2 linked regions of the Elephas maximus indicus genome follow. The protein of the gene in region 2 interacts with the protein of the main gene of each other region in a pairwise test. Links are inferred from orthologs where the notes say so. Each region holds a gene or a part of one and is shown on either strand. Other genes may lie near its edges.

The links.
Region 1: the proteins of SUFU (region 2) and RCN3 interact in binary tests that used the Homo sapiens proteins (3 or more experiments, as listed by UniProt). The two-hybrid records come from large-scale screens. The link is inferred for Elephas maximus indicus from reciprocal best matches to the Homo sapiens genes SUFU and RCN3.

The regions. Positions count from the first base shown.
Region 1 is NC_064829.1:99,993,931-100,004,967, reverse strand, and holds the start of RCN3 (reticulocalbin-3), read right to left. Parts: upstream 5,085-11,037; 5' UTR 4,994-5,084; exon of another isoform or gene 4,960-4,993; intron 4,586-4,959; 5' UTR 4,577-4,585; coding exon 4,338-4,576; intron 2,330-4,337; exon of another isoform or gene 2,141-2,329; coding exon of another isoform or gene 2,037-2,140; intron 1,939-2,036; coding exon 1,736-1,938; intron 1-1,735. Other genes in the region: FCGRT (IgG receptor FcRn large subunit p51), read right to left, coding at 6,086-6,195, 6,596-6,712, 7,577-7,846. UniProt on the Homo sapiens protein: Probable molecular chaperone assisting protein biosynthesis and transport in the endoplasmic reticulum.
Region 2 is NC_064834.1:54,064,846-54,075,403, reverse strand, and holds the start of SUFU (suppressor of fused homolog), read right to left. Parts: upstream 4,387-10,558; 5' UTR 4,194-4,386; coding exon 4,012-4,193; intron 1-4,011. Other genes in the region: ACTR1A (alpha-centractin), read left to right, coding at 6,629-6,676. UniProt on the Homo sapiens protein: Negative regulator in the hedgehog/smoothened signaling pathway. Down-regulates GLI1-mediated transactivation of target genes. Down-regulates GLI2-mediated transactivation of target genes. Part of a corepressor complex that acts on DNA-bound GLI1.

The sequences.
Region 1 (11,037 bases), on a different chromosome or scaffold from region 2:
AATTCATAATAATTAATATACATATAAATAATGTACATATATGTGTATTATGGAAACCCTGACGGGTAGTGGTTGAGTGCTTCGGCTGCTAAGCAAGGGGTCAGCAGTTCAAATCCTCCAGGCGCTCCTTGGAAGCTCTATCAGGCAGCTCTACTCTGTCCTACAGGATCACTATGAGTCGGAATCGACTAGATGGCAGGGGGTTAGGTTTGGTTTTTTTTTTTTTTTATGTGTATTATGAGAAACCCCAGTGGCACAGTGGTCAAGCACTTGGCTGCTAAGTGAAAGGTTGGCAGTACAAACCCAGCAGCTGCCCTGTGGGAGAAAGTTCTCGTGATCTGCTCCTGTAAAGATTACAGCCTTGGAAACCCTATGGGGCAGTTCTACTCTGTCCCATAGGGTCGCTATGAGTTGAAATCGACTCAGCCATAATGGGTTTTATGTGTATTATACCAGTTGCTGTCAAGTTGTCCCGGCTCCTGGTTACCCCATATGTGTCAGAGTAGAACTGTGCTCCACAGGGGTCTCAATGGCTGATTTTCTGGAAGGAGATTACCAGGCCATTCTTCTGAGGTGCCTCTGGGTGGACTTGAATCTCTAACCTTTCCATTAGCACCTGAGCATGTTAACCATTTGTATCACCCAGGGACTCCTATACATAAGTTACCTAACTTATATTGAGAACTTATTATATGCCAAGCACTTTGCCTACAATATCTCATTGAATTCTCATTAAAAGCAGGTAAAGTGGGTTCTTTCGTTTATCCTCACTTTATGAAAGAAAACTGACCCCCAGAAAGAGAAAATAAACTTGTCCAAGGTCAGTAACAGTGGACTTTAATTAAGTTGGGCTTCAAAGTCAGTTTAGCACAATAGCTTATACTGACTCTGTTTGCCTGACAGAAAGTTGAGGAAGGGCATGTGTGGAGTGTGGGTATTTGAAGAGCTTGGTGAGTTGAGGGAAATCCTTGGAGATCGACTTGGCTGGGATAGGAAGTGCAGAGAAGGAACTCTCTCCTGGGGGTGCTGGGGAGCCATGGGAGGGCTGTGTACTGGGGAGGGCCAGGATCAGCTCAGGTGTAGAAAGAACCATCTGGGGCAGTGTGGGGATGGGCTGGAGGGGGAGACTAGAGGCCAAGAAGCCAGGTAGAGCCTGGGACAACGGTCTAGGATGGAGGGGACAAAGCCTGTGTGGCGCCAGGACTGAGGCTGTGGGGACAGAGAAACCATAACCAAAAACCAAACCCTTTGCGGTAGAGTAGCTTCCTACTCATAATGAGCAACCCTATAGTACAGAGTGGAACTGCTCCATAGAGTTTCCAAAGAGCGTCTGGTGGATTCAAACTGCCGACCTTTTGGTCAGCAGCTGATCTCTTAACCACTACACCACCAGGGCTCCGGGGACAGAGAAGAGGGACCGAAAAGAGTCGGGGACAGGGAAAATGGCTTTGGGTTTCTCAGGAGGAGGGGTCACAGACGTCAGAGACCAGGATGACAGGGTATGAAAGTTAGGTGTTTCTGGTCAAAGATATGAAGTCCCCCAGTCACAGCGTCACAGGTCGTGGATGCCAGAGTGAGAGACCAGACATCATGGGTTGAAGGTTTCAGGGGGATACCCTGGTTTGGGGTCAGAGGTCAAAAGGTCATGGATTCTAGTACGCAGGATGAGGGAATGAAAAAGGTCAGGGTCAGTGGTGTGTGTGGAGGGAGCAGGAGTCGAGGTCTTGCCACCCACCGGGCGCATAGTGACCATAGGTGGCGTTGCGGAGCTCCTCCCAGCCCACACGTCCGTCGCGATCCGTGTCATATGTGTCCCAGGCCGCGCTCACCGAGTCCCGTATGTGCCGCTGCTGCGTGTGCGCGATCCACGCGCGGAGCTCAGCCAGAGACACCCAGCCGTCCCCGTCCCCCGCACGGTCCATGCGGTCCACGATCCGTCTGCGAGCCAGGGGTGGGGCACAGGTCAGACCCAGGCCCCACCCAATCCCATTTAGGCCCCGCTCCTCCCGTCGAGCCACGCCCCCACTCCCACACACCCCTGTATAGGGCTGAAAAGACGGTCCACGCTCCGTCGGCAGACTGGAGAGGGACACGTGTTAATCTCGGGACCGCGCCCACCTCCGGACCGAGTGCCCTCCATCTAGGCTCCGCCCCCACGGCAAACTACGCCTTTCCTGCCTATGGACGATACCAAACGCAGGGGTCGTGGGGGAGGACAGACGTCAATCCGGGGCCGCACCCTCCACTCCGGCCCCATCCTTCGACCCAGCACGTGCTCCATCCACCTTAAGCTTGATTGAGTTGGGGTGGGACAGGGAGCGGGACACAAGTCCCACGACTGGCTCGGCCCCGACTGCCACGGCCCCGCCCCCTCCCCGGCTCTGCCAGTCTCAGCGCTCTCCTCCCCCAGCCCCGCCCCACGCCCCGCCCAGCCCCTTTCCCCTCTCGGCTTCCCGCTCTAGCCCGCCTGCCCTTGGACCAGCGAGCCCCTCCTCTCCCAAGCCCTCTCTAGGATCCGGCATACTCCTGTGCAGCTCCCCGGGCCGATCAAACCCCTCCAGGCCCCCCCTCACGCCCCCTCTTTCTCAACCCGCACCTGTCAGCTTCGGAGCCCCGCTTCTCTTCCCTGGCCGCACCTTGCCACGGTCCAGCCGTCGCGCAGACGCTAACACACCCCACACGGAGCCCCTGTTGTCCAGTCCCCAGGTCTCATCCAAGACAGCCCCGCTCTCCCTGCTCCCGCCCGGTCGCCGCTCTCCTCCCACACCAGTCTGTCTCTGCCTGGGTCACTCGGGGGCTGGCCCTGTCCCCAGGACTCACTCCCTTCTCTGAGGTTGGAGCTATGGTTAAGAGCGTGGGCTCCACAGCCAGGCATTCTAGGTTCAGATCCCACCGCCTCTACTTGCTAGTTGTGTGACCTTGGGCAAGTCACTTAATCTCTCTGTGCCTTGGTTCCCCCCTCTGCGAAATGGGAATAGATAATGGTATCCACCCCATGTGGGGATTAAATGAGTTAACCTATGTAAAGCACTTAGAACGGTGGCTGGCACTGCAGTAATCCCTGGCTAAATGTGATCAATGTGATAGGATAACTCTCACTACCCTTCCTCCCCTGACCGCATTCAGGCACAGTCTTCCAACCAGTGGGGTGCAGAGATCTGGTCACCGCCCCCGACTGTCCCCAGTCTGGTCTATACACCATCATCTCTTCTCTCCCACCTGGACTATTGCAGCTGTTTTCTCACTGATCTCTCTGCCTCTCCTTGCTCCCCAGCCTGCCTAAATCAGACCACCTCCCTCCTCTGCTCAGAACCTTCCTATGGTGCCCTGTGCACTCAGGTGACCCTGCATGATCTAGTTCTCTCTGTTATGCTCCTTACCTCCCTCCTCTCCCCTTTGATCACTCTGTTCCAGTCACACTAGCCTTCCTATTCCTCAACCGTGCCAGGCCCACTCCTGCCTCAAAGCCTTTGCACATACCATTCTCTCTGCCTGGAATGCTATTCCCCCAGGCACCCACATGGCTCAATTATTACCTTGTCATTGAGGCCTCCTCTGAACACCCTGTTTAAAACTGCAATTTCCCCCCTCTCCACTTCACTTCTTTGCCCTTTTTCTCTAATGCACTGATGTATTTATACGTATTGTTCTGTCTCGGCCTCTACAATGCAAACCGCATGAGGGCTGGAATTTTTGCCAGACTAGTTCACTGCTGGAACTTCCGCACCTGTGCAAGGCCTGGCACACAGCAGGCGCTCAATAGACCTTCATGGGATGCATGAGCGGTAGTGGGACACCATAGAGAGGGGGCTTTGCATTGCCTACTGCCCCCAGGCCCTCTCTGGCTCTGTCTCCCCATACCGGGGTGCACAGGATCTCTCAGGTTCGTGGGGAGACCCCTTTTAGCCCAGTTTACCCTGGGACTCATGGCTCAGCCCTTTTCCTGCTCTGGCTGTCCTCTTTACATGACGAATCTTGTTATTTTTCACATCAGCCCCATGCCAAGGAATCCTGGTGACCCATTTACGGAGCAGGAAGCTGAGGCTCAGAGAGGGGAGGTGTCTGAGGAAAAGGAACAAAAAGTGACTGAGGGGACAGGAGCTGAATTCAGACCTTCCTGCTTTCAAAGGTTGTATCTTGAGGCCTCAATTTTTACTTAGTTTTGTTTTGCCTGAGGAGGGGAGGTAGGATTTCGTTAGTGGATTCTCAACAAGAACCAAGGTCTCCTCCATCTTTCCTTACCGGTCCCCTGCCTCTGTCTTTGCACCAATGCTCCAATCTCTCTGTCACCCCACCCCCACCACTGCACCCCACTCCCATCGCCATATCACTCCTACCCCAGGCGAGCCTGGCTTTCCTCAGGGCTGAGCTGGTCGAATTCCTTGGCTACTTCTCGTCCCAAGAAAGCCTCATGGTCGTACTGAAAGTTGCCGTGGGCGTCGTCATGAGGGGCCTCGCTTAGGGGGGCCGCCTGGTGCACTCTCCCCTGGCCATGAGGGCCTGAGTCGGGAGACGGCTTCCCTTGGGCCCCAGGCCCCAGCAGCAACAGTAGCAGCAGAAATGACCGTCGCCACATTGTCAGTCCCTGCAGAGGGGCGGAGGCCAGCGATCGGGGTCAGAGGGAAGAGGACAGGATTTGAGGGGTGAGAGGGTATGACAGGGCAGGCGGCAAAGTTTTGGCCTCGGGAAGGTCTGGGTATGGGTGAAAGGAGGCAGGGTTCGCGGAGGTAAAACCAGCATGGGAACCTCATCTTCTGAGGGCGTCCATAGGGTTCCCAGACCCACAAGTAAAGGGGCTCCAGGGTAAGACGTGGCGCACATCCCACGCAAAAAGAGGGCGGGGCCGTGGACGGGGAGAGATCAGGCTGACTTCCCTAGGATCGCTTCCAATCGGGACGCTGATCTTCGACCCGAGCCACCCCAAGCCGCCCTCCCTGGGCACCCCTCGGACCCCTTTACCCCGTTACGTAGCCAGGCTTCGCTCTCTACGCACCGCTCAGTGTTCCCCAAAAGATGCCCAGCTTGGCTTCACTCCAGCCTGGCCCCGCCTCTGGCCGAGCGGAGGCCCCGCCCCCGGCCAATGAGCGCGTGTTAGGGCCCTGAGAGGCGGGGCCAAGGAGCGCCGGGCGGGGCACAGGAGCCCCACGCCACGTCCACAAAGGAAAGCACTGCCCTCGAGGCTCGGCCCTGCCCCTTTCCAGGGCAGGCGGGGTAGGAGACGTCGGAACGACTGGAACTGAGCGAACTACAACCCCAGCAGGACTCGGGGCGCCCTGTTCGACTACCTCCAGTTTTCTTGGCCCCGAGGCCTCATGGGAAATGTATTTTTATCTATTTCCTTTTGTCAGGGTGGTCCAAAAAAGGCCGGGAGCCAAGGGAGGCAGCCCCTTCCCTCAAAGGAGAAAACAACTCTCTTCTTCTGCTGTATCAAGAGGGATTCAGGTGAGATTCAGCCAAGAACTCTTCAAAAGGGCTGACAAAATGTGAAAAAAAACCAAACCCACTGCGGTGGAGTCAATCCCGACCCACAGAGACCCTATAGGACAAAGTAGAACTGTCCCATAGGATTTCCAAGGAGCAGCTGATGGATTTGAACTGCCAACCTTTTGACTAGCACCCAAACATTTAACCACTTCCACCACCAGGGCTCCAAACCCATTGCCATTGAGTGGTCACTCAATTTGTGGAAGTTGTGAATGAAAATTGTATGACCTGTTATATAAAGTTGTCAGATTCCACATGACAACATGTTAGTAAGTTGCAGGTGAGATTTGAAACCCAGGTCTTCCACCACCTTCATTTCCTCCTACATCCCCCCTATTGCCCATTCTGAAATGCCCGAAAACTTGAAATCACGAGAACACAATCAATTCAGGCCCAAAATCATATTATATGTGGATGTGGAAAAGAGCCGTATGTATCAGGAAAGGAAACTGAGGCAGGCAGCAGGAAGAAGGATCCAGAGGGAGGACATCAGGCCCAGACTCCTTCTGGAGGCTCAGAGATGCCAGGATTCCATCCTGAGGTCGCACAGCATGAAAGGGCCCCCACAGCATTAGCTGGTGGCAACCAGAATGGAGGCTAGTCAGGCAGTGTCTGCCAACGTGTTTTTATCCTGAGAGTCAGCCTCCTGGGGGAGGCCAGGAGTGGGTAGGAGGGCCCCGACATCATCAGCACCGAGAGCGATCCAAGGGACTGAGGAGAGAGGAATAGGTGTGTTCATCAGACTGTGAGACCCCCGCCCCTGTCCACCCCTCCTCCATGTTCTTTCTCTCTGTCTCTAGGTTCCTGTCTCCCTTTCTCTCTGAGTCTTTGCCTCCCTTTCTCTCTGGATCTTTGCCCCCTTCTATCTGGGTCTCTGTTCCCCTCTCTCTGGGTCTCTGTCCCTCTCTCTCTGGGTCTCTGTGCCCCCCGCTCTCTTGGTCTCTGTCCCTCTCTCTGCGTCTCTGTGCCCCGCCCCGGGTCTCTGTGTCCCCCCTCCCCGGTCTCTGTCCCCCTCTCTCTCTGGGTCTCTGTCCTCCTTCCGGGTCTCTGTCCTCCCCACCCCCTGGCTTCTGCTCCCTTCTCTGAGGCTGCTTCTCCTCCTGCGCCACACCTGGCTGTCCTGCCCTAATCCTCCTCCACAGCAGCGCTCCTCCCGTTGCTGCTGCCAGGAGCAGCAAGAGTCCGATGACGATCCCAACCACGGGTACTGCGGACCTGGCTGATGATTCTGCAGCCAGAGAAGGTATGAGATGGTGAATGAAGTCTCATCCCAGGAGTCAGGACAGGGAAATGGGGGCTCCCACACCCCCGAGCCAGAGAGTCCTGACCAAGTGTCTGGGGATGGGAGTGAGCAGAGGAAAGGTGTCGGGGTGTCCTAGGCTTGGGCAGAGTGTCCCCAGGTTAGATGAAGAACCAGCCATAGCAAGAAGAATGGTGGTCGGTCTTGCCAAGGGACCTGTGGTGTTCTGACTCTGAGGACGGGCAGGCACAGCACAATAGGAGGTCAGACTCACAGAGGACTGGCAGTAGCAAGGCAGTAGATGGTCAGTCTTGGCAAGGATTGGCAGAAGCAGACAGTGATTGACCAGACTCCATAAAGACCAGAAGTAGCAGGATGGAAGGTGGTTAGCCTCAGGGAGGACCAGCAGCAGTGGGGCTGAAGGTGGCCAGACTCAGAGAGTACTGACCATAGTAGTCAATATCTGGTCAGACTCAATGGGGCCTAGCAGCAGCTGGATAGAAGGCAGTCAGGCTTGGGAAGGACAAGCAACACAGGATAGAAGGCTGTCAGGCTTTCCGAGAATTGGCAATAGCTGAGCACAAGCTAAGGAGCCATGGTGGTGCAGTGGTTAAGTGCTCAGCCAGGAACCAAAAGGTCAGTGGTTCGAACCCATCTACCGCTCTGCAGAGGAAAGACCTGGCGATCTGCTTCTGTAGAGATTACAATCTTGGAAGCCCTATGGGGCTGCTCTACTTTGTCCCATAGGTTTGCTATGAGTCGGAATCAACTCAACAGCAACAGGTTTGGAGCACAAGGCACTTAGACTCAGGAAAACCTGCTGCAGCAATGGGCTATCCGGTGGGACCTCACCCAACTCCACCGTGAGGGGCTTCGCCAGCCCTGCGTGCTGCACAACGCAGCAGTAGTGGTGTTCATCGCCACTTTTGACTTGTAGTGATGACCAAGCATGGAAGGAGCCATCGCCATTGGGGCCCTGGTCGCTCTCTCCGGTGCCAGCCGCCAGCCCATTCCGGAGGAATTGCAGCTGCAGCTCCGGGGGGTAGAAGGAGAAGGCACTGCAGGTGAGGACGGAGAAGCCGGGGCTGCCTGGTCGGGCCTTCAGGCGCATGGAGGGCGGCTCTGCAGAAAGACAGGCAGACAAGCCTGAGCACCAAGCCCATAGACCGCCAGGGCCAGGCCCAGGCCCAGGGCAGGGCTGGATAGGGACAGAGAGGCCCTCATTCCTTCCACCACACCTATTGGGCTCCGCCACGTGCCCTGCACTGGGCTGAGCCTGGAGGACATGGTGGGGAAATGGGAAAGCTTTCCCAGGGGGACGGACACCCAACCAACCTATGGGTTGCTCCCTCAGGACCCCATTTCATCCTTCCATAAACATTTTTAAACAAAACAAAAACCAGACCTGTTGCCATTGAGTTGATTCTGACTTATAACAACCCTACAGAACAGAGTAGAATTGCCCCCATAGGGTTTCTTAGGTTGTAATCTTTACGGAAGCAGAATGTCACATCTTTCTCCCACGGAGTGGCTAGTGGGTTCAAACCACTGACCTTTCAGTTAGCAGCCAAGCGCTTAACTACTATGCCACCAGGGCTCTTTGGATACAAGGTAAATATGTATAAATCAATAGCATTTCTATAAATTAGCTACCAACCAACAACCAACCCATTGCCATTGAATCAATTCTGACTCACGGTCACCCCATGGGTTACAGAGTAGAACTGCTCCATAGGGTTTTCTTGGTTGTAAACTCTTTTTTCCGTGGTGCCCTGGTGGGTTTGAACCACCAATCCTTTAGTTAGTAGCCGAGCGCAAACCTTGTGCACTACCCAGAGTCCTCAAATCAGCTGCAAACAATTGGAAAATAAAATTTTTCAATACCATTTACAGTAGCTTCAAAAAATACCAAGCATCAAAAGATACTTAGGAGTAAATATAACCAAAGATATATAAGATCTCTACACTCAAAACTACAAAATATTAGTGAGAAAAATTAAAGAAGAACTAAATATATGAAGGGACATAACATGCTGGTAGATTAGAAAATTTATTATTGTTAAGATGTCAATTCTCTCCATATTGATCTATCAATAAAATTCAGTCACAATCAAAATCCCAACAAGATTATTTTTGGTGGTAATTGATAAGCATAATTCTAAAACATATATAGAAATACTGGGGCCCTGGCAGCACAGTGGTTAAGAGGTTGGCTGCTAACCAAAGTATCAGCAGTTGGAATCCACCAACTGTTCCTTGGAACCTCTACGGGGTAGTTCTACTTTGTCCTGTAGGGTCACTGTGAGTCAGAATAGGCTCAATGGCAACAGCTTTGGTTTTTTATACAGAAATGCAAATGTCCTAAGATAACCAAGGCAATATTTAAGAAGGAAAATAAAGCTGGAGAACTTATACCACTAAATACCCAAACTTACTCTAAAACTACATTAATCAAGAGAGTGAGGTATTCACTTAGGAGAGTGGCGTCTGGGGTCTTAAATGCTAGCAAGCGGCCATCTAAGATGCATCAATTGGTTTCAACCCACCTGGAGCAAGGAAGAATGAAGAACACCAAAGACACAAGGTAATTATGAGCCTAAGAGACAGAAGGGACCACAAAAACCAGAGACTACATCAGCCTGAAAACTAGATGGTGCCCAGCTGCAACAGATGACTGCCCTGACAGGGAGCACAACAGAGAACCCCTGAGGGAGCAGGAGAGCAGTGGGATGCAGACCCCAAATTCTCATAAAAAGACCAGACTTAATGGTCAGACTGGGACTAGAAGGACCCCAGAGGCCGTGGTCCCCAGACCTTCTGTTAGCCCAAGACAGGAACCATTCCCAAAGCCAACTCTTCAGACAGGGATTGGACTGGAATATGGGATGGAAAATGATACTGGTGAAGAACGAGCTTCGTGGATCAAGTAGACACATGAGACTATGTTGGCATCTCCTGTCTGGAGGGGAGAAGAGAGGGCAGAGGGGGTCAGAAGCTGGCTAAATGGCTATGAGGAGAGAAAGGGGAGGGAAGGACTGCACTATCTCATTAGGGGGAGAGCAATTAGGAGTGTATAGCAAGGTGTACGTAAATTTTTGTATGAGAGACTGACCTGATTTGTAAACTTTCACTTAAAGCACAATAAAAATTAATTAAAAAAAAAAAAAAAGAGAGTGAGGTATTGGCATAAGAACAGACCAACAGGTCAATGAAATAGTCTAGAAGCAGATCCACATCTACTTTACGACAAAGAGTCCATTGCCATCCAGCGTATATGTGCGTGGAGGGGAGATGAAGGTCTTTGCAACAAATAATGCTGGGTCAACAGGTCCTTAGGTGGCGAAAACGGTTTGCACTCAACTGCTAACCTAAACATTGGTGGTTCGAACCCACCCAGTGGTACTACAGAAGAAAAGTCCTGGTGATCTGCTTCCATTAAGATTACAGCCAAGAAAACGTATGGAACAGTTCTAGTCCGTAACACATGGGGTTACCATGAATGGGAATCTACTCGATGGCAACCAGCAACAACAACTGAGTATCCGACTGGCTGACTGGAGAGAACGGAGAAGTGTGAGGCTGAGGAGATGGACTGCGGCTTCACCATGCAGGGCCTCGAGTGCCAGGTGGAGTGGCTAGAGCCGTGGTGTCTTGAGGGATCTAAGGAGCTGCAGGAGGGGTATGTGCAGGGGAGGGGCGGAGTCAGCTCTGGAGCTGAGCTCTGTTGAGGGATGGGTTAGAGGGGAGAGACTGGTGGCTGGGAGAAGGCTGGTCTTTGAACAAACGATACTGGGTCAACTGGATATCCATAGGGGAGAAAAATTAACCTAACCCCCTACCTCATACCATATACAAACATTAACTTGAGATGGATCATACAGCTAAATGGAAGTGCACACGCCACCCAGAAAGTTTTCCTGCCACAGAAATCAAACCAGAATCTGATCAAGTCTCTAGATATGGCTACTAGTTTATAGGATAAGCAGGAGACAGAGGACCATGTTCAGCAACACCACAGGAATGTAACCAGTAAAATCCAGCCTGGTGGAAGCTCAATAGGGAAAATGACTTACTTTCTTCAAAGCAAAAATTGCAAGGAAAAAAAAAAAAAAAACTATTTAAAGAAACGTATAGATTAAAAGACAATGAAAATGATGCACATTGAAATCACTGAACTGCATACATAAAAATGTTTGAAATGACATATGTTTCGCTATATATATTCTACCACAATTTAAATTAAAAACAACCAAAAAACTAATGTCCACATCTGCATCCAAGGTGCACAACTTTTCACAACCAGCAAAAAAAAA
Region 2 (10,558 bases):
AACATGCCAAGCTTCAAGGCAAGAGATGCATCAGTCAATCAACTGGTCTCTGTTGAAAGATCATCTGGAGCATCCCCAATGGGCATTGTTCCTGGAAGCAGAGGCTCCGCTCCGTTCCTGGCTCTTAGTGGGCTAATTCCTGAAAGACTATATTGTGCCCTATGTTAATTACAGTTTGTTCTAAACAAATCCAAAGCCTGCGGTCTGTGCAGACCCTGGCCTGCACCCTGCAGACCAAAGCTGGTCTTTTATCATTGCAAGTGACAAAGGCCAAACTTAGGCTAGCTCAGCTCTGCACAGAGATCTGCAGCAGGAGCCCAGCTGAGCCCTAGGATTGCCTGCATCTGCAAGATGATCCCAGGAGACTGCTGGCTCAAAGGTAGAGCTGCAACATTCAATGATTGGAGGCCTCTAAGCACCACATTAAATTTCCTCCACAATTCCAACAGAGAGGCAGTTGTGGAAAAGATTCAGTCTTTATTTCACTCCGAGGATTTAATTCAATAAGGGTTTCCTTTAGTGCTTAAAAAAAAAAAATCCTGACTGGACGAACAGACACAGGGAACCCAGGGTTGAAAGTGGGAGAATGCTGTCACATTATGGGGATTGCAATCAATGTCACAAAACAATATATGTATAAATTTTTGAATGAGAAATTAAAAAAAAAAATCCTGTTTTTCTTAAAATGGATAGGGGACCTTGATAGACTTGAGAAACAGACTAAACAGAAACCATCAATGGAAGGAAGTCTGCATTTAGCACACAAACACTCCTCCAATTTGAGCTGCTTTGCACATCTGACCATTCCACAGACTGTAAACATTTGCCTGCCCCTGGGGCACTGATGGGGTACACTTTGCAAATGGAAGAGTATGCTCAAGGTGTGCTAGCCACCGCATAAAAGACATGTTGCATGTGATCCCAGCAAACATGCCAGGATTCAATTGAAACACAATTTAAAACCATTAGATCTGGTTTCATCCTCTTTTGCCAGGATATTATTTGCCTTTGTAGAGATCCTTATTCTCTGGGAAATGCTAAGTTATTTATAGAACTTGTAAGGAAGCTGCTACAAATACTTTACAATCTCAACCAAGTGGACTAGGAAAAGGGACAAATCTCCATGTCTTCCATTAGCTTTTTTTTTTTCCATTAGCTCTGGTGTCACCAAATCGTTTGACTAATCCCAGAATCAGTTGAATTTAGAACAATCTGTGGGGGGAAGGAGGAAAGAAAACAGCAGTGAACCCTGGACGGACTCCATGATAGCTATAGAACCCTAAACGGATGAGAATGACAACAGGCCCTATATCTGCTCCAGTTTTCTGCTACAAACTCCCAATCCTGCCTCTCCTTCAGCCAAAATCCATACACCAACAAGTGGTAAACCTGCTTTCAGTATTCAGTGCTCCATGTGTCATACCACTGCAGCCCTTTTCTATCTCCACATGTCCAAGGAGGTGTCCCATCAAGGGGAGAGGCTTGTCCTTAAAACTACAAGGGCAGGGAATAGCCAAGACTTAGACAAATTTAACCTTGGCCCCAAGCACAAAGTGTTCTGTTCTACTACTCCCAGACCTGACTGGAATCAGATGCCTATGTAGAAAATAATCTTATTTTGTACTTAGAAAAAGACGTTAGCCAACGAACCAGAGCATCCTTCAACTTAATTCCAGAGGAGAGGAGCCTCGAACACCGGACTTCACTCCACAGGCCACCTACAGGACTAGAATGGACCCAGGGCATAGGCTCTGCCTCTATGCTTCTGCTCCCTACTCACAAAGTCTCAGCCTTCAGCAGGTCATCCCTGGCCAGCACCATTAGCGAAAGAGCCATCCTTCCACTGCAGGAGAGGAATCCCAAAGTACCCTGGGCCACAGCCAGAGCAGGCAGCCTCTCAATCATTCTGCTAGAGAACTGAAGAGGCTTCATGGAGCCATGCAACACATGGGATCCCAAATGTGAGGGGTATGAATGAATTTCAGGATCTTAATTATGCAAACCTGTTCGAATCTTGGAAAGATCCTGTCTCTGAGCTACTCCCTCTTATTTTTTTTGCATCTAGGCAGCATTTCTAATCTCACCAAGTGCTGTGCAATCATCTTTATTCATCATTACATGCTGGCCAGTCTCTGAAGCTAAGTACTGGCCTGGTTAACAAGCTTGCAGCAGGAAGAAAAAAAAAAAAAAGTTGCCCAAACTAGTCTTAGTCATTTGCACACGCTTCAATACCTTTCACATTCAGCACCATCCTTTATCGCCACTTGGGTAACAGACAAAAACAGTTGCCTGAGTCTGTGGAGGGATTTCTCCTCACACTCAAAGGAGACCTGAACAAACAGCATGACAGAGCCAGACCCAGTTTTCTCAAGATACACTTCAACAGAGTTCCTCCCAACACATATTTAAACATAGAGGCACAATCAGAATGGCTGGTTAAGTTAGCAAGAGCTGCTTTCCAGTCAGAGGCTCTCCAAAAACTCCTCTCAACCAAAGAACAGTTTTCCTGCCAGACAGAAGCGCACCGCCAGCCACACCTCCTCCTGGCTGCCCAGACAGAGGCAGGCTGCTCCCCATGGCCCTCCCTGAGGAGCAGGTGGCTGGTCCCAAGGCCCCGATGGCATTCTCCCACCAGCACAGGGGGCAAGCCTCAGCTCTGCACAGCCTAGCGACTGCCATCTCCAGAGGAAGTAAGCCATACTCGTGGAGGAGAAAGATTCAGTCCCAATGGGAATGGTAACCAGCCAAGACATCCACTCTCTTCCACCTTGGAGTCTACCTGCCCCTTTGGCCACACCCCAAGCAACTAGCTGTCTGAACTGTCTTTCAGGACCCACTGAAAGGGAGCATCTAATACAGTCCCTGTATGAGTGTGGTGCTGGACTCAACCAATTCCTCAGTCAACATTTGGCCCAGAAAGACCAAGAGGATGGGCTCTTTTCCAGAGTCCCAGTAACACCTGTTTTGCCCAGAGGCTGTAGGAAGAGACAGGTTGCAAACAGGGATGGGAAACTAGAAAAGATCCATTCCTACACCAAGCGTAACCCATCTGTAACCCAGCCTGATCCTCAGCAGAACTACTTGAGGAATATCAGCTGCCCTGAGAAACTAATGCCTGAGTCCTGAAATGGGTGGCCAGAAAGCACTGCTTCCCTCCCTGCCCAGCCCCAGGTCTCCGTCATTTACTTCCTACTGGAAGTGGAAAGCTGTGGCCCTTTCAATCCTGAGCCAAACCATGGATCTCCTTAGCTTGCTCCTGTTCTAGCCAATGTCCCAGAGCAAAGGAGCTGCAGAGCCAGAGGGAGCTCTGCACAGAGGAGGAACACTGTGCAGAGCAAGCAAAAAGTTTATCAGGAAGAGTGCTGGTCAAACTTCAAAAGCAAAAGTTTTACTCGGGTATTACGTAGGAGCTCAACGAGAAGGTATGAAAAGGAGACCTCATCTCTTCACAAACACTACTCTTTCAATGGGCTGCCCTCCTAACTCTCAAGAAGGCCCCCAGACCCGCCCCTATCCTATGCAGTCGCCCCTATACTAGGCAGTCTCACGCCCTCTAATCTCCTCCAGCCGAGCTCCTCCAAAGCCCTCTCCTATGCTCCCCAGGCCCCGCCTAGCCTTCCCCATCCCACTTCAGCCGACCCCCATCCTTAGCTTCCCCTATTCCACTAATGACCCCCTACTGGCGCGCTCTCCTTTCACCACGTTTACAGTTCCCTCTCTCATAACGCACCCCTCTCTGCTCCTTCACACACCCCAGTTCTTACTCCATTTTAATCTGTTAACCTTTCATCCTCCCCTCCTCCGTTAACCCTTCACTGCCCACAGGCTCCGTTAACCCCTTTGTCCCCATTCCCAACTTGTGCCTTAATTCTCCCCTCGCAGCAGGAAGTCCTCCTTGCAAGTGCTTTAACCCTTCTACTCCTCCTCCTCTCTTCCCCTGCAAATTTCTTCGTTCCGGCGCTTTAACCCTTCCCAGCCCCCTTGTCCGTCTCCCCGCGGCCCAGGGCATACCAGTATTTGACGATAGCAGTAACCTGGAGCGGATTCGGCTGGTCGGGGTAAAGGCGGCGGCACTCTCCGTAGATGGCATGCAGTCCCGGGGGGAAGAGCGAGGCGAACGCCGGGGGGGCAGAAGGGCCAGGGGCTGGGGGCGCGGTGGGGCCGGGGGCGCCGCTAGGCCGCAGCTCCGCCATTGGGGCACGTAGGGTGCTGGGGGAGCCGGGTAGGGAGGGTGAGGGGGAGAGCACTGACTGGCCAGCGGGCGGACTTCTTGGGTGCGACTCCCCGAGGCAAAGGGGGCTGCAGCGAGGTCTAGTGTCTGCGCCTGCGCACTACACACTGTCCGCCCAGGCCGCCGCCGCCGCAGCCTCGGAGTCGGCCAGAGGGTGCCTGGGGGCTGCGGAGCTCTCAAATGGGCGGGCCGCAAACGCGTCCTATGCTGACATCTATTGGCTAGCGTCTGTGCCAGTCACAGGTGAGAAAGGCGTGATCTGACAATAGGCCCCGCCTTCTCATCGCTGAGTTGGGGGTGTCCCAAGGCTCTTGGTCTCCCCCTAGTGTTGGGAGGAAGACATGTTTAAATAGAGACATTGAGGGAGGCAACCCTGTGAGGTGCTAGGGTCCCACGAAAGGCACTGTGACGTGATCTCACCTACGGTTAGGTTAGTAGCTTACACGCTACTAACCAAGATTTAAATAAATCTGACAGTATATTGGCTCACTCGTCCGTGTGGCATTAGTTTTAATAGATTAATTAATCCAATGTTTCCTACTATTTTTGAACGTCCGTGGACGTATTGACTGACACTGTTAAAACCCATTGCCGTCTAGTCGATCCTGATTCACAGGGATCCTATAGCGACCAAATTCAGGGAACTGAAGTTGAAATAAGTCCCCAAAACCCATACCGTCGTGTCGATTTCGATTCATAGCGACTCTGTAGGACAGAGTGGAACCGTCCCTTAGGGTTTCTAAGGCTGTAATCTTTACAGAAGCAGACATCTTTCTCCCAGCGAAGCCGCTGGGTGGATTGGAACCGTCGACCTTTAGGTTAGCAGACGAGCGCTTAACCCCTGGGCCACCAGGGCTCCTAAAATAAGTCAACAAGTAATAAATACTTTTTGGCATACTGTCAGAAAGTAAAGGTGCCCTGGTGGCCCAGGGGTTAAGCATTTGGCTGCTAACCAAAAGGTCTGGCGGTTCCAACCCACCCAGCGGCTCCGCTGGCAGATAGATGTGGCAATCGGCTTCCCTAAAGATTACAACCTTGGAAACTTTAAAGGTCAGTCGTACTCTGTCCTATAGGGTGTCTATGAAACGGAATCAACTCCAGGGCTACAGGTTTGTTCAGAAAATAACAAGAGTTGGTTAAACTAGTGTCAATTTATATGACTTAGTAATTCTTTAATAAATGTTTTTAATGATAATTTCGTTCTTTGTTCTGCTTTAAGGAGATGTATGCAGTTTGCTTTGAGGAATACCAATATTCATTATCCACTATGGGCCTGTCCTTTCCCATTATCTTTACTCTCTGTATCTGGGAGAATTTTCTTTAATTTCTTAGGCACGAGGTGGAAAATTATTTTCCTGTTTACAATAACTCTTCATTCAGTAACACTTTCATTCAATGATCTTGAAGGAGTGCCAAGATAAACGGATAGGAGGGAGTGGCTACCAGTGCTATTGACCAAAGGGTCTCTGCAACTTTAACAGAAGGATGCCCTAGAGAAAACAAGAGGAAAATGCAGTGTTTATTTAAGAGCAGTAACACATAACCTCTCTTCACCTCTGTTTCCTCACCTATCAAAATCTTGTCAATTCTAGCTCCTGTAATGATACTAGAGAAGCAGCTGAAATCCTTGGATGAACAATATTTTAATAACCAAAAGATCACCTTTACCAGTAGTTCCAAATGCCAGTCTTCAGACCAATGTCAATCTGTTACTAAATTTACGCCTATCCAGGAGAAAACGGGAATAGTAACCACAATGTACTGCTTTTCTCTTGTAGCAAATTTTTATGGAATTTAAATGATTTCCTTTGTTCTGAAAATTTGCAGTTTCTTGTGTGTGTATATGTGTATTAAAATGACCTTTCTGTTCAAGTTTGATGGTGGTAGATGTTTGTTTTTTAAAGTCTTAAAGACCCAAATAAAAACATGGCAGCCTTATTTTGTCCAGGTGAGGTGGGGGTGGAGTGGGCAGTACTGATCTGTAAAAACCACATTCACGAATTACTGACCAATGCTAAACGAAATACAGACAAGTACTCAAGAAGACTACACACTTCGGCATGCACTGCGAAACCTTTCAAAGGGACTACAAATCCAAGAATGCAACACAGGCATCAATCGGCGTCTCCATCTATTTTTTTAACGGAGACTACAAACCCCAGAGTATGTGCGACGGAAATGCGGACGCTCAATCCATGTTTAAGAGGCGGGTCTCCAAAACGGGCCTTTTAGCAAACCCCGGCGCAAAGCATGCTGGGGATTGTAGTTCTTTGGAGGCGAAATCGGACCCCTTCCCTGGCCGCCCTATACCGGCGGCTAGACTGCGCATGCGTGTCAGCGGCGTTAGCAGCGGACCGGGCTGGCAGTTCTTTCCTCGGAAGGAGAGATTCCTCTACGATGGAGTCCTACGATGTGATCGCCAACCAGCCTGTCGTGATCGACAACGTGAGTTGCATCTTTCCTATTTCTAAAGGGACTTCTGCTCTCTTCCCCGAAGGGATAGCTTCCCGGGTTTCTGCCCGGCTCTTTGTCACTGGCCCGGCCTGTCAGGCGGGTTCAGCCGCCGTCGCCAACGTCCTCCCCCACCCGTAGTTCGTAGGCAGGGCAGCCAGGCGGCAACCGTGGGATAGAGAACTCTGGAGTAGGCAAAGGAAAGAGCTGTAGTCCGAGCCGGGTCGGTGGGCCCTTGGCTCGAGGGGCCTTAACCGCTCTGTGAACACCGGCGCCTGCCCTGTCCCCAGTGCTTGTTAATTCTATTGGCTGCTCTTGCTGTCTATCTTGACTGGTGACCCCGCCTCTGGGCCTTGCCGGATGAGGACAGCCCTCTGCAGTGATTGGCTCACGCTCCTGCCGTTCTTCCGGGCCGCCTTAGTGTTTCCCTTCTCTAAGGGGCGGGGCGGTGTACCAGCGCTGTGGGGATTGGCTTCGGGAACTCAGTGGCACTAGAAGGGCGAAGGCCCGCCTGCGGGTGGAGGAGAGGGGCTGTTTCCTGCGGCCCCGAGCGGGCGGGGCAGCATGGTGGTGTATCTGGGTGGGGCCCGAAAATCTGATGCCAGAAATGGCCGTAGAATTTCAGTTATTTCTATAATTATAAAGTTAATAAAGGCCTAGAAGAAATGAGAATGACAAAGCAAGCTGGGAGATGCCTTTCTATTTGGAACGCCTAATTGTTGACGGAAAAAATTAGCTAAACATAATATTTGCAAGGCTCTCCAGCGCTTACAAGGCGCTTTCATATACATTCGAGTTGGATGCTCACAAAAACTAGGCGGATAGTTAAGGCAGGAAGTTTGATCCTCATTTAATAGTTGAGAAATCTGAAGCGTGAGCCCAAGGTCACACAGGGCTTGACCGGTTATTCCTTTTGCTGGCACCCACGCAAATGCATCAGTAGTGACAAATGGAAAGACTCTGAATACTACTTTTATGGGGAAGGAGGGGCAGTTGTAAAACAACGGCATCTCTGTCTTCAGCTCAAGGGTGATGGTCCCACTAAGATCAGTTGATACCTCTCTGTGCCTCTTCTTGTTGTTAGCTGTGGTGGAGTCTGTTCCGACTCATGACAACCCCAAGCGTGCATAGTAGAATTGCTCCATAGGGTTTTCAAGGCTGTGACCTTTTGGAAGCAGATTGCCAGGCCTTACTTTCCAGGTGCCTCTGGATGGGTTTGAAGTTATCAATCTCCTCAGTCCTAACTGATTCGCCCTGTTGAGCCAGCTCTTGGGTACAGCGTCGCCTTGTTTAAACTTCTCCCCTGCTAGGTAAGTAGGAATTATTTTTCTCAGTTTATGCAGAAAACTGAGGCTTGGAGAGGTTAAATAACATATTCAAACCACCTGGCCTGTGAATTAAGGCACCAAGACTCAGACTGAGATCTGGTTCCAAGTTCCTCACTCTTTCCAAGGAAAGGTTATTTTTGTTCGTTTTTCTTCTCTCGGATGGGTGTGGCTTCTGCTTTGTTTGAGCTCAATGAGGCACCCCTTCTGGGAGAGTTTTTTTTTTTTTTTTTTTGTCTCCACTAGACTTTGAAATCCTTGTGGAAAAAGAATGATACTCCTTTATTTTTTATTACTCTCCCGTTTCCATATACACAGTACCTAGGGCAGTGCCTGGCACACACTATGTGCCCAATAAATGTTTTTTCATTGGACTGATGGGCAGGTGGTTGAATGAATGAACATCTCTTATCACAGTAACAAAGATGTTCCTAAATAAAGGATGGCAGGGAGCCCCCATTATTTACTGAGAGGGTTGAGCAGGACTCCTTGTTCGTGATGCTGATTTCCAGAGAACACTGCTACTTCAGTCTTCAGCCAGTCTGTGTTTCATCTGCCTTTTGCTTAGTTAGAAAGAAATTAGCAATTGGCAACAATTTCCTGTTTTCATCAGCAGTACAGAGGAGCAGTCCAGCCATCCAACCCAGGGGATCCTTTGCTTCTTGAATGGCTGGGCAGGAGTTCTGTCTCCAGCCAGTCTCTTTAATGTTGTTTAAACTAATGCGTCTTAGTTTCTCCTTTGTCTTTCCTGGTAATGTATTTGAAATGCATCAAAGCAGTGGTGCATTTTCAGTTTTAATGTTTAAAGGATTGACTTTTCTCTGGGAAAACATTTCCTTCATTCTGCCAGTAATTCTGCCAAAAGGTGAAGTAGGAGCTTAAGTCATTTTCTCATTAGGACTTCCCAAATATCTGCCACATTTTTAGATTTGGAGCCTTGGGTAGTTCTTGCTGTTTGAAATTTAGAGGGTTTTTGTTTTTAATTCTCAAGATAAAAGGTGGGTAGGAAAAATCATTTGAAATATTTGAGCCAACTTTATGAGAATAGTGTGTTACTGGCAGATTTAAGCTCTGCATAGCTTAACATCTTGCTAAAATTTTACTTCTGGGCTACGGAGAGTACAACTAAAGAAAGGAGGACAAAAGAAATAGGGAAAAGAGGGAAGAGCCTCATCGCAGTTCACAGCCTTTCCCAGTCTTAAGGCAATTGTGACCACTCCTTTCATCTTTCTCTGCTTCTCTGGCATCAAACCAATTCATCAGAATTAATGAGGAAAATGGAGACGTGTGTGTGTGCGCGCGTGTGTGCGTGTGATGATGCACACGTTTTAATGACAACAATAAAGTGATAGATATTTCTGAAAGTTAAGTATAAGTAATTCCTTCCCAAAGGCATACCATAGATACTAACACAGGAAGAGAACAGCACTTTGATCAGAAAACTGAGTTTATTCTAAAGCTGAAATTTTTACTAAAATCTTAAAGCTACAGTTCTGTCCTAAATAGATCAAGGTTCTGGTCAGTCTTTGTGACTATGTGGTCCCAAATGCAGTAACAGTATCAGATCTTCAGAAGTTCATCAGAAAGCTAAGAATTTCACTGTTTTGTTTTGTTTTCCAGATGTCTTGCTGCTTCAGCCTCCTTTTAAGAAATATATTTTTTAATTTTTTTATCGTGCTTTAAAGTGAAAGTTTATAGCTCAAGTTAGTTTTTCATACAAAAATTTATACACACATTGTTATCTGACCCTAGTCTCTCTCTCTGTTATGTGACAGCACACCCCTCCTTTCCACCTGGGATTTCTCGCGTCCATTCAACCAGCTCATGTCCCTTTCTGCCTTCTCATCTTGCCTCCATACAGGAGCTGCCCATTTAGTCTTATGTATCTACTTGAACTAAGACGCACACTCTTCACAAGTAGCCTTTGATGTCTTATAGTCCAGTCTAATCTTTGTCTGAAGAGTTGGCTTGGGGAATTGTTTTAGTTCTGGGTTAACAGAGAGCCTGGGGGCCATGTCTTTTGGTGTTCGTCCAATCTCAGTCAAATCATTAAGTATGGTCCTTTTACTAGAATTTGAGTTCAGCACCCCACTTTTTTCCTGCTCTGTCAGGAACTTTCTGTTGTGTTCCCTGTCAGGGTGGTCATTTGGTGGTAGCCAGGCACCATCTGGTTCTTCTGGTCTCAGGCTGATGGAGTCTCTGGTTTATGTGGCCCTTGTCTCTTCTGCCCATATTTTCCTTGTGTCTTTGGTGTTCTTCACTTTCCTTTGCTCCAGGTAGGTTGGGACCAATTGATACATCCTAGATGGCCGCTCGCTAGCTTTTAAGACCCCAGACACCACTCTCCAAAGTGGGATGCAGAGTGTTTTCTTAATAAACTTTGTTACTCCAGTTGACCTAGACGTCCCCTGAACCCATGATGCCCAGACACCTGCCCCTGCTGCACTGTCTCTCGAAGTGTTTGGTTGTATTCAGGAAACTTCTTAGCTTTTGGTCTAGTCCAGGTGTGCTGACTTCCCGTGTATTGTGTGTTGTCCTTCCCTTCACCTAA